2 linked regions of the Xenopus tropicalis genome follow. The protein of the gene in region 1 purifies or fractionates together with the protein of each later gene. This does not show direct contact. Links are inferred from orthologs where the notes say so. Each region holds a gene or a part of one and is shown in the gene's direction. Other genes may lie near its edges.

Region 1 (3,751 bases):
AAGCCCAGTGTCCCATGTCCCCCCCACCTTAGCCAAAGCCCAGTGTCCCATGTCCCCCCCCCCCACCTTATCCAAAGCCCAGTGTCTCCCCCCCCACAGCCCCAGCCCAGTGTCCCCCCCCCCCACCTTAGCCAAAGCCCAGTGTCCCATGTCCCCCCCGACCATAGCCAAAGCCCAGTGTCCCATGTCCCCCCCACCTTAGCCAAAGCCCAGTGTCCCATGTCCCCCCCCCCACCTTATCCAAAGCCCAGTGTCTCCCCCCACAGCCCCAGCCCAGTGTCTCCCCCACAGCCCCAGCCCAGTGTCTCCCCCACAGCCCCAGCCCAGTGTCTCCCCCACAGCCCCAGCCCAGTGTCTCCCCCCCACAGCCCCAGCCCAGTGTCTCCCCCCCACAGCCCCAGCCCAGTGTCTCCCCCCCACAGCCCCAGCCCAGTGTCTCCCCCCCACAGCCCCAGCCCAGTGTCTCCCCCCCACAGCCCCAGCCCAGTGTCTCCCCCCCACAGCCCCAGCCCAGTGTCTCCCCCACAGCCCCAGCCCAGTGTCTCCCCCCCACAGCCCCAGCCCAGAGTCTCCCCCCCACAGCCCCAGCCCAGTGTCTCCCCCCCACAGCCCCAGCCCAGTGTCTCCCCCACAGCCCCAGCCCAGTGTCTCCCCCCCACAGCCCCAGCCCAGTGTCTCCCCCCCACAGCCCCAGCCCAGTGCCCCCCCTATACCCAATACACTTCCCAGTCAGTGTGTAACCCCGGGCCCCGGTGTCGGGCTCCACATGCATCGCAGTCACGTGTTATTACCGGCTGCTCGGCCTGAGGGCCCCCGGCCTCCCGCTTGCTCCCCTTCTTCATATTTCACTCAGGGCCCGGGGAGGATACGATTCCCTATTGGTTCTGTTTCGGTTCGACAGTGTCAATCACTTAGAGACCAAAATACCAGTCGCGCTGTCCAGAAACACGTTTCTCCCTGTCTCCTCACACCGGAAGTTGACTTTGCCCCGCCCACTAACCCGCCGGAAACAGTTCAATACCATCTTACCTGTGGCATTTGAATCTTTATACCTGAATAGATTATTACTGTTTGTTCTCAGGCACAATGTAATATAACGCGTGTAATCCTTTACCGGTATTTGAAGTCAGTGCACTACATAGAAAACAACTATTTACGTTAACACTACCTTGGGTGTAGTAAGGCTTGGGTGTAGTAAGATGGCGGACACGCAAATGCGCGTCTCACCGCTCGTACTGCGCATGCGTCCTGCTCCCGGGATTGTACGTCACAAGATGGCGCTCACCATGGCTCCCTCGGCCTGTGACTGTGCGCAGAAGGGCCCGGGAGCCTGAACTAAACATCCCGTCAGGAGAGTCCGGGGCGCTACCGGCTGGGGGGATAGCGTTGCTAACGTACCCCTCAGAGTCACCGACCCCTACACTGTACGTGAGTTGCCTACTTACCCCAATAGCTACTGCCCCCCTGTGTGTGAGCAGCCTAACTACCCCTCCTTTCTGCCAATAGCCCTTACCCCCAAATACTGCCCCCCTGTGTGTGAGCAGCCTAACTACCCCTCCTTTCTGCCAATAGCCCTTACCCCCAAGTACTGCCCCCTGTGTGTGAGCAGCCTAACTACCCCTCCTTTCTGCCAATAGCCCTTACCCCCAAGTACTGCCCCCTGTGTGTGAGCAGCCTAACTACCCCCTCCTTTCTGCCAATAGCCCTAAACCCCCAAATACTGCCCCCCTGTGTGTGAGCAGCCTAACTACCCCTCCTTTCTGCCAATAGCCCTTACCCCCAAATACTGCCCCTCTGTGTGTGAGCAGCCTAACTACCCCTCCTTTCTGCCAATAGCCCTTACCCCCAAGTACTGCCCCCCTGTGTGTGAGCAGCCTAACTACCCCTTCCTTTCTGCCAATAGCCCTTACCCCCAAGTACTGCCCCCCTGTGTGTGAGCAGCCTAACTACCCCTCCTTTCTGCCAATAGCCCTTACCCCCAAATACTGCCCCCCTGTGTGTGAGCAGCCTAACTACCCCTTCCTTTATGCCAATAGCCCTTACCCCCAAGTACTGCCCCCTGTGTGTGAGCAGCCTAACTACCCCTCCTTTCTGCCAATAGCCCTTACCCCCAAGTACTGCCCCCCTGTGTGTGAGCAGCCTAACTACCCCCTCCTTTCTGCCAATAGCCCTTACCCCCAAGTACTGCCCCCCTGTGTGTGAGCAGCCTAACTACCCCTTCCTTTCTGCCAATAGCCCTTACCCCCAAGTACTGCCCCCCTGTGTGTGAGCAGCCTAACTACCCCTTCCTTTCTGCCAATAGCCCTTACCCCCAAGTACTGCCCCCTGTGTGTGAGCAGCCTAACTACCCCTCCTTTCTGCCAATAGCCCTTACCCCCAAGTACTGCCCCCTGTGTGTGAGCAGCCTAACTACCCCTTCCTTTCTGCCAATAGCCCTTACCCCCAAATACTGCCCCTCTGTGTGTGAGCAGCCTAACTACCCCTCCTTTCTGCCAATAGCCCTTACCCCCAAATACTGCCCCCCTGTGTGTGAGCAGCCTAACTACCCCTCCTTTCTGCCAATAGCCCTTACCCCCAAGTACTGCCCCCTGTTTGTGAGCAGCCTAACTACCCCTCCTTTATGCCAATAGCCATAAACCCCAAGTACTGCCCCCCTGTGTGTGAGCAGCCTAACTACCCTCCTTTCTGCCAATAGCCCTTACCCCCAAGTACTGCCCCCTGTGTGTGAGCAGCCTAACTACCCCTTCCTTTCTGCCAATAGCCCTTACCCCCAAATACTGCCCCTCTGTGTGTGAGCAGCCTAACTACCCCCTCCTTTCTGCCAATAGCCATAAACCCCAAGTACTGCCCTCTGTGTGTGAGCAGCCTAACTACCCCCTCCTTTCTGCCAATAGCCCTTACCCCCAAGTACTGCCCCCCTGTGTGTGAGCAGCCTAACTACCCCTTCCTTTCTGCCAATAGCCCTTACCCCCAAATACTGCCCCTCTGTGTGTGAGCAGCCTAACTACCCCTCCTTTCTGCCAATAGCCCTTACCCCCAAGTACTGCCCCCTGTGTGTGAGCAGCCTAACTACCCCTTCCTTTCTGCCAATAGCCCTTACCCCCAAGTACTGCCCCCTGTTTGTGAGCAGCCTAACTACCCCTCCTTTCTGCCAATAGCCATAAACCCCAAGTACTGCCCCCTGTGTGTGAGCAGCCTAACTACCCCTTCCTTTCTGCCAATAGCCCTTACCCCCAAGTACTGCCCCCTGTTTGTGAGCAGCCTAACTACCCCTCCTTTCTGCCAATAGCCATAAACCCCAAGTACTGCCCTCTGTGTGTGAGCAGCCTAACTACCCCCTCCTTTCTGCCAATAGCCCTAAACCCCAAGTACTGCCCCCTGTGTGTGAGCAGCCTAACTACCCCCTCCTTTCTGCCAATAGCCCTAAACCCCAAGTACTGCCCCCTGTGTGTGAGCAGCCTAACTACCCCTTCCTTTATGCCAATAGCCCTAAACCCCAAGTACTGCCCCCTGTGTGTGAGCAGCCTCACTACCCCCTCCTTTCTGCCAATAGCCCTTTACCCCCAAGTACTGCCCCCCTGTGTGTGAGCAGCCTAACTACCCCCTCCTTTCTGCCAATAGCCCTTACCCCCAAGTACTGCCCCCTGTGTGTGAGCAGCCTAACTACCCCCTCCTTTCTGCCAATAGCCCTTACCCCCAAGTACTGCCCCCTGTGTGTGAGTTTCCCGCTTGGCTTGTATGATAGTGCCCC
Region 2 (3,751 bases), on another chromosome or scaffold:
GCAACCAGTTCTCTGCCTCCCTAAGGCTCATGGTGTAGTGCAACCTTCCCTTACCTTGTTCTATTGTGAACGGATGAATTCTGAGACTTAAAGTCCTCCTTCTTTCGAGAGAATCTCTGCACCATCATCTACCGGGTGTGGGGAACCAATCCCTGCAAGCTCAGACAGATTCTTACTGTTCCCTTTCACTCTGTGGAATCATGTATGTCTGTGTAAAAAATTAAATTATTAATACAAATGAATGAACTCATGTCAAATAGGCGGTATCATTTCCTTTTTAAAAAAAAAAAAAAAAAAAGGCTTTTTAGCATTAGCTCAGGTTTTATCTTCAACTCGGTATTCACCATTAGAGTGCTAAGGACACAGCAGGTAAGCACAAACTGCTAACATTCTATAGACCTGCATGTGCCAATGCAATCTCCAACACCTAAACAATTAAGGGCATTTATTTATAAAGCATCACCATTCTCCATAGCACAGGCTTAAATGTAACAATTTAACAATTTTGTTTAAAAACAAATCTTGAAATAAAGTCCCAAAAGTATAATGAATCCTTAATTCTATCCTACAGACTCTGTCCTGACTCCTTTCTGAATGTAGAAAGTATGTGCTACCCAGTGCTCATTAAAGCCCATGTGCCAAACAGACTATGCAAACTTTGTACTATTTATATTAGCATTCAGTTGCTCCAAACATTTTTTTTATCCATGCATTAGTCTTGGTCCGTGGGAATAAAGGCAATTTTCAACTCTTCTGATGAAATTAATATCATTAAAGTTATTGCTGGAGTATAGCACTAGAATGTACTGGGGACTATGATTTCTATGGCTATGGACAGTAATATATAACTATAGCAATAAGTCAAATCAACTAGACTTTTTTTTTTTTAGAGAACTGAATGAATGAGACCCTTCTCAGACAGACAGTAATATATACTGGTAACTATGACTATAACCTGAAGATACCATCCATCCCTACATCATGGGGAGAGGGCTCATTTTGGAATCTCTCGCCTCAAGGCATTGTTCCCCCAGTAGGCACCTATCCCTGGGTGATTGTGCCCCACACCTGCCTGTCCACGTTCGTGTGCTGTCCGTTCTAATTAAATTCCTGTCTCCCCCCCCCCCCCATTCTGCAGCTCGATCCTCATCGGAAGCGATATGTATAAGGCACCCCGGCTCATTTAGATCACTGTTGCTGAACACTGCAACCACTCAGTGTATGACACAAGAAACTATAATTCGGCAATAGACTGAAAATCAGAGAAACCGCTGGAGCTAATCGTACGGAGTCTCACTGACCTTACTAACGTAGGCGGTACATGCACCTGCGAGCACCAGGCTGAATACACTCCGCCGCTGCTTTCCCCACCATAACATAACTGTAGCGGCTAGTAACAGTAGCCTCCTACTTCCGTCTCCCACGTATGACATCAAGCCGCTGCGACGACTGCTGCCCTGGTTGTTGCTGAGCGACTGACGTCATCCCGGCGCGCCCTCTCTCTCCCTCTCCTCCCGTGCCTGTCTCTCGGCGAGAAGCCTTCCTTCCGTGAGCTGCGTGCCTGCCCGTGTGGGCTCCAGGAAAGGCAGCGAATGCCCCCGACTAGTCATTCCACCCAGGTAACTGGCCGCTGGCCACCGCCGGGACTTGATCGCTTTAAAGAAATAGTGTAGTGTGTGGGGGAATAATTTAAAGTAGTACATTAGTGGATGTAGATTTGTATTTACTTGCCCTGCTACAGGGACACAAAACTACCTTCTCTCTAGCTGTGTTTAACTACAACTCCCAGAATCCGTCCAGGAATTCTGGGAGTTGTAGTTTTACAGTTGACGAGCCGCACTTTGAAGACCACTGCTGTACTCAGTATAGACTTGTAGGCAACTCTTTATTGGGAGATTGTGTAGTGTGCAAGTGTTGTAAGTATTAACTCCCATATGCACAGTATAGCTCTGTGTATATTGTGTATTTATACACACACACAATTATACCTCTGTATCCTGTATATCTGTGCATACTATGAAATCCAAAACATTGCCTCAAGACTCTAGAACTACAGAAGTGGACTTTTTGGAAGTGGAATTTATTTACACCAAACCAGCCTGTAGGGGTACTTGGGCTTCTGCCTGTGACACACATTACTGAACTGCAAGTTGCCTAATTCATCCTTTTCTTGCCCAAAGTAAGTGGGTAGTACTAATGCTTAGGCATGCTGTGCTCACAGTACTAATCTTGGGGCAACACCCTATGCAAACCATTGTAAGAGAAGTCTGATGGTGAGAACATTCCCACTTAGTGCTCAGACTCATGTAAGGGACTTGTCACACTAGAACCCAGCTTTGTGTTGTCTTTAGTCTGTGCTGCTCCATTTAGCTGTTTTCATATGGGGGATTAGAGTGAAACTTTATTTAAAGATAAGGTTACTTATGTGTATAAGCTAGTGATGCACTGAATCCAGGATTTGGTGCAGGATTCTGCCAAGATCTGACCTTTTATATCCATATTTGGCCAAATCCATGCCTCTGGCCAAAACGAATTAGAATCCATCACACGGAAGTTGAAAAATTTTCATGCACGGTTCTCTTCAACCCTTCCTTATTCTAATATGCATATACAAATTAGGATTTGGTTCAGTATTTGGACAAATCTTTCGCAAACAATTCAGGGGTTCAGGCAGATTATAAAATAGTGGATTTGGTGCATCCCTAGTGTAAGCATTTACTGTAATAGGATTGAAAGGCAGAGGATGCCAAATTGCAGTAACATAAAGTATGGGATGCAATAAAACTTGAATTTTGTATAAAAGAATTTGTTATATATATAATTAACTCCAGTCTTTAGTGTGGACAAAATTTTGCCCGTCCTAAAATAAACTTTTCGTGTTGTATTCTTTCTGAATTATTTACCACATTCTTCCAAATTGCAGCTGGAAAAGCTACCTAGTTACAGGGTCACTGACCCGCAATAGAAACATGGACTATTAGACTTTAATTTGAATGTTCCTGTTTTTTGAATTATTGGTCTATGTTTTCAGAGCCTCTTCTGTTCCTAAAACATTCTGAATTCCAAATGTCTACCTGGTTGAAAGGTTAATTGAACCCTAGTTTAAGGTTTATTTAAGTGAAATACCAAAGATTAAATACAACCTGGACCCTTTATAAAGCACTTTTATTCCTGGATTATGTGTATATTAAAAAAAGCTCTTACTAAAGATGTATATACTGTTTTTAGGGCATGAATGTACCTACTAATAGCATAAATTAAGCTCCTGGTGGTCACTTGTGATTGACAGTAGATTGCTGAAATCTGCTTGTCACCCCTAGTTTTGATGATGATAATCAAAGGTGTAGTGGTTCTCTGCTCTGTTACTAGAGTGAAATAAAGTTACACCTGTTGGGGTTATGGCACATGGTGAAGGGACCTGCTTTTTTCATTTCTCTGTTAGAAGTCACTGAGACAAAACACAAAGATTGTCAGTGCTATCATTTATGGCACATGTAATGGAAACTGAGAGACTTTCTCTTTTCTGAGAGCTTTTAATGGAGCTGCTGCTTTCTGACTCTTGAAATTTGGAACTGAGGCAGAAGCAACATGCACTACACACAATTATATTTGTGTAGGCATGCCCATCACAGGGGTATGTATTGTAGGGTAATTATTTTCATTTATATGCCGTGTAATAAGTTTCCCTCTACACATTTAGTGGCAGTGCAGTTAAACACAGCCTTGTTGAACCAAATATGAGAAAAAACCC

The links.
Region 2: the proteins of hsf1 (region 1) and fbxw7 purify together in Homo sapiens (affinity purification with western blotting; 4 studies listed by BioGRID, with this or other methods). This does not show direct contact. The link is inferred for Xenopus tropicalis from reciprocal best matches to the Homo sapiens genes HSF1 and FBXW7.

Annotation. Positions count from the first base shown.
Region 1 is NC_030682.2:152,321,898-152,325,648, reverse strand, and holds the start of hsf1 (heat shock factor protein 1), read left to right. Parts: upstream 1-1,188; 5' UTR 1,189-1,424; exon of another isoform or gene 1,425-1,428; intron 1,429-3,751. UniProt on the Homo sapiens protein: Functions as a stress-inducible and DNA-binding transcription factor that plays a central role in the transcriptional activation of the heat shock response (HSR), leading to the expression of a large class of molecular chaperones, heat shock proteins (HSPs), that protect cells from cellular insult damage.
Region 2 is NC_030677.2:55,438,859-55,442,609, forward strand, and holds the start of fbxw7 (F-box/WD repeat-containing protein 7), read left to right. Parts: upstream 1-1,490; 5' UTR 1,491-1,619; intron 1,620-3,751. UniProt on the Homo sapiens protein: Substrate recognition component of a SCF (SKP1-CUL1-F-box protein) E3 ubiquitin-protein ligase complex which mediates the ubiquitination and subsequent proteasomal degradation of target proteins.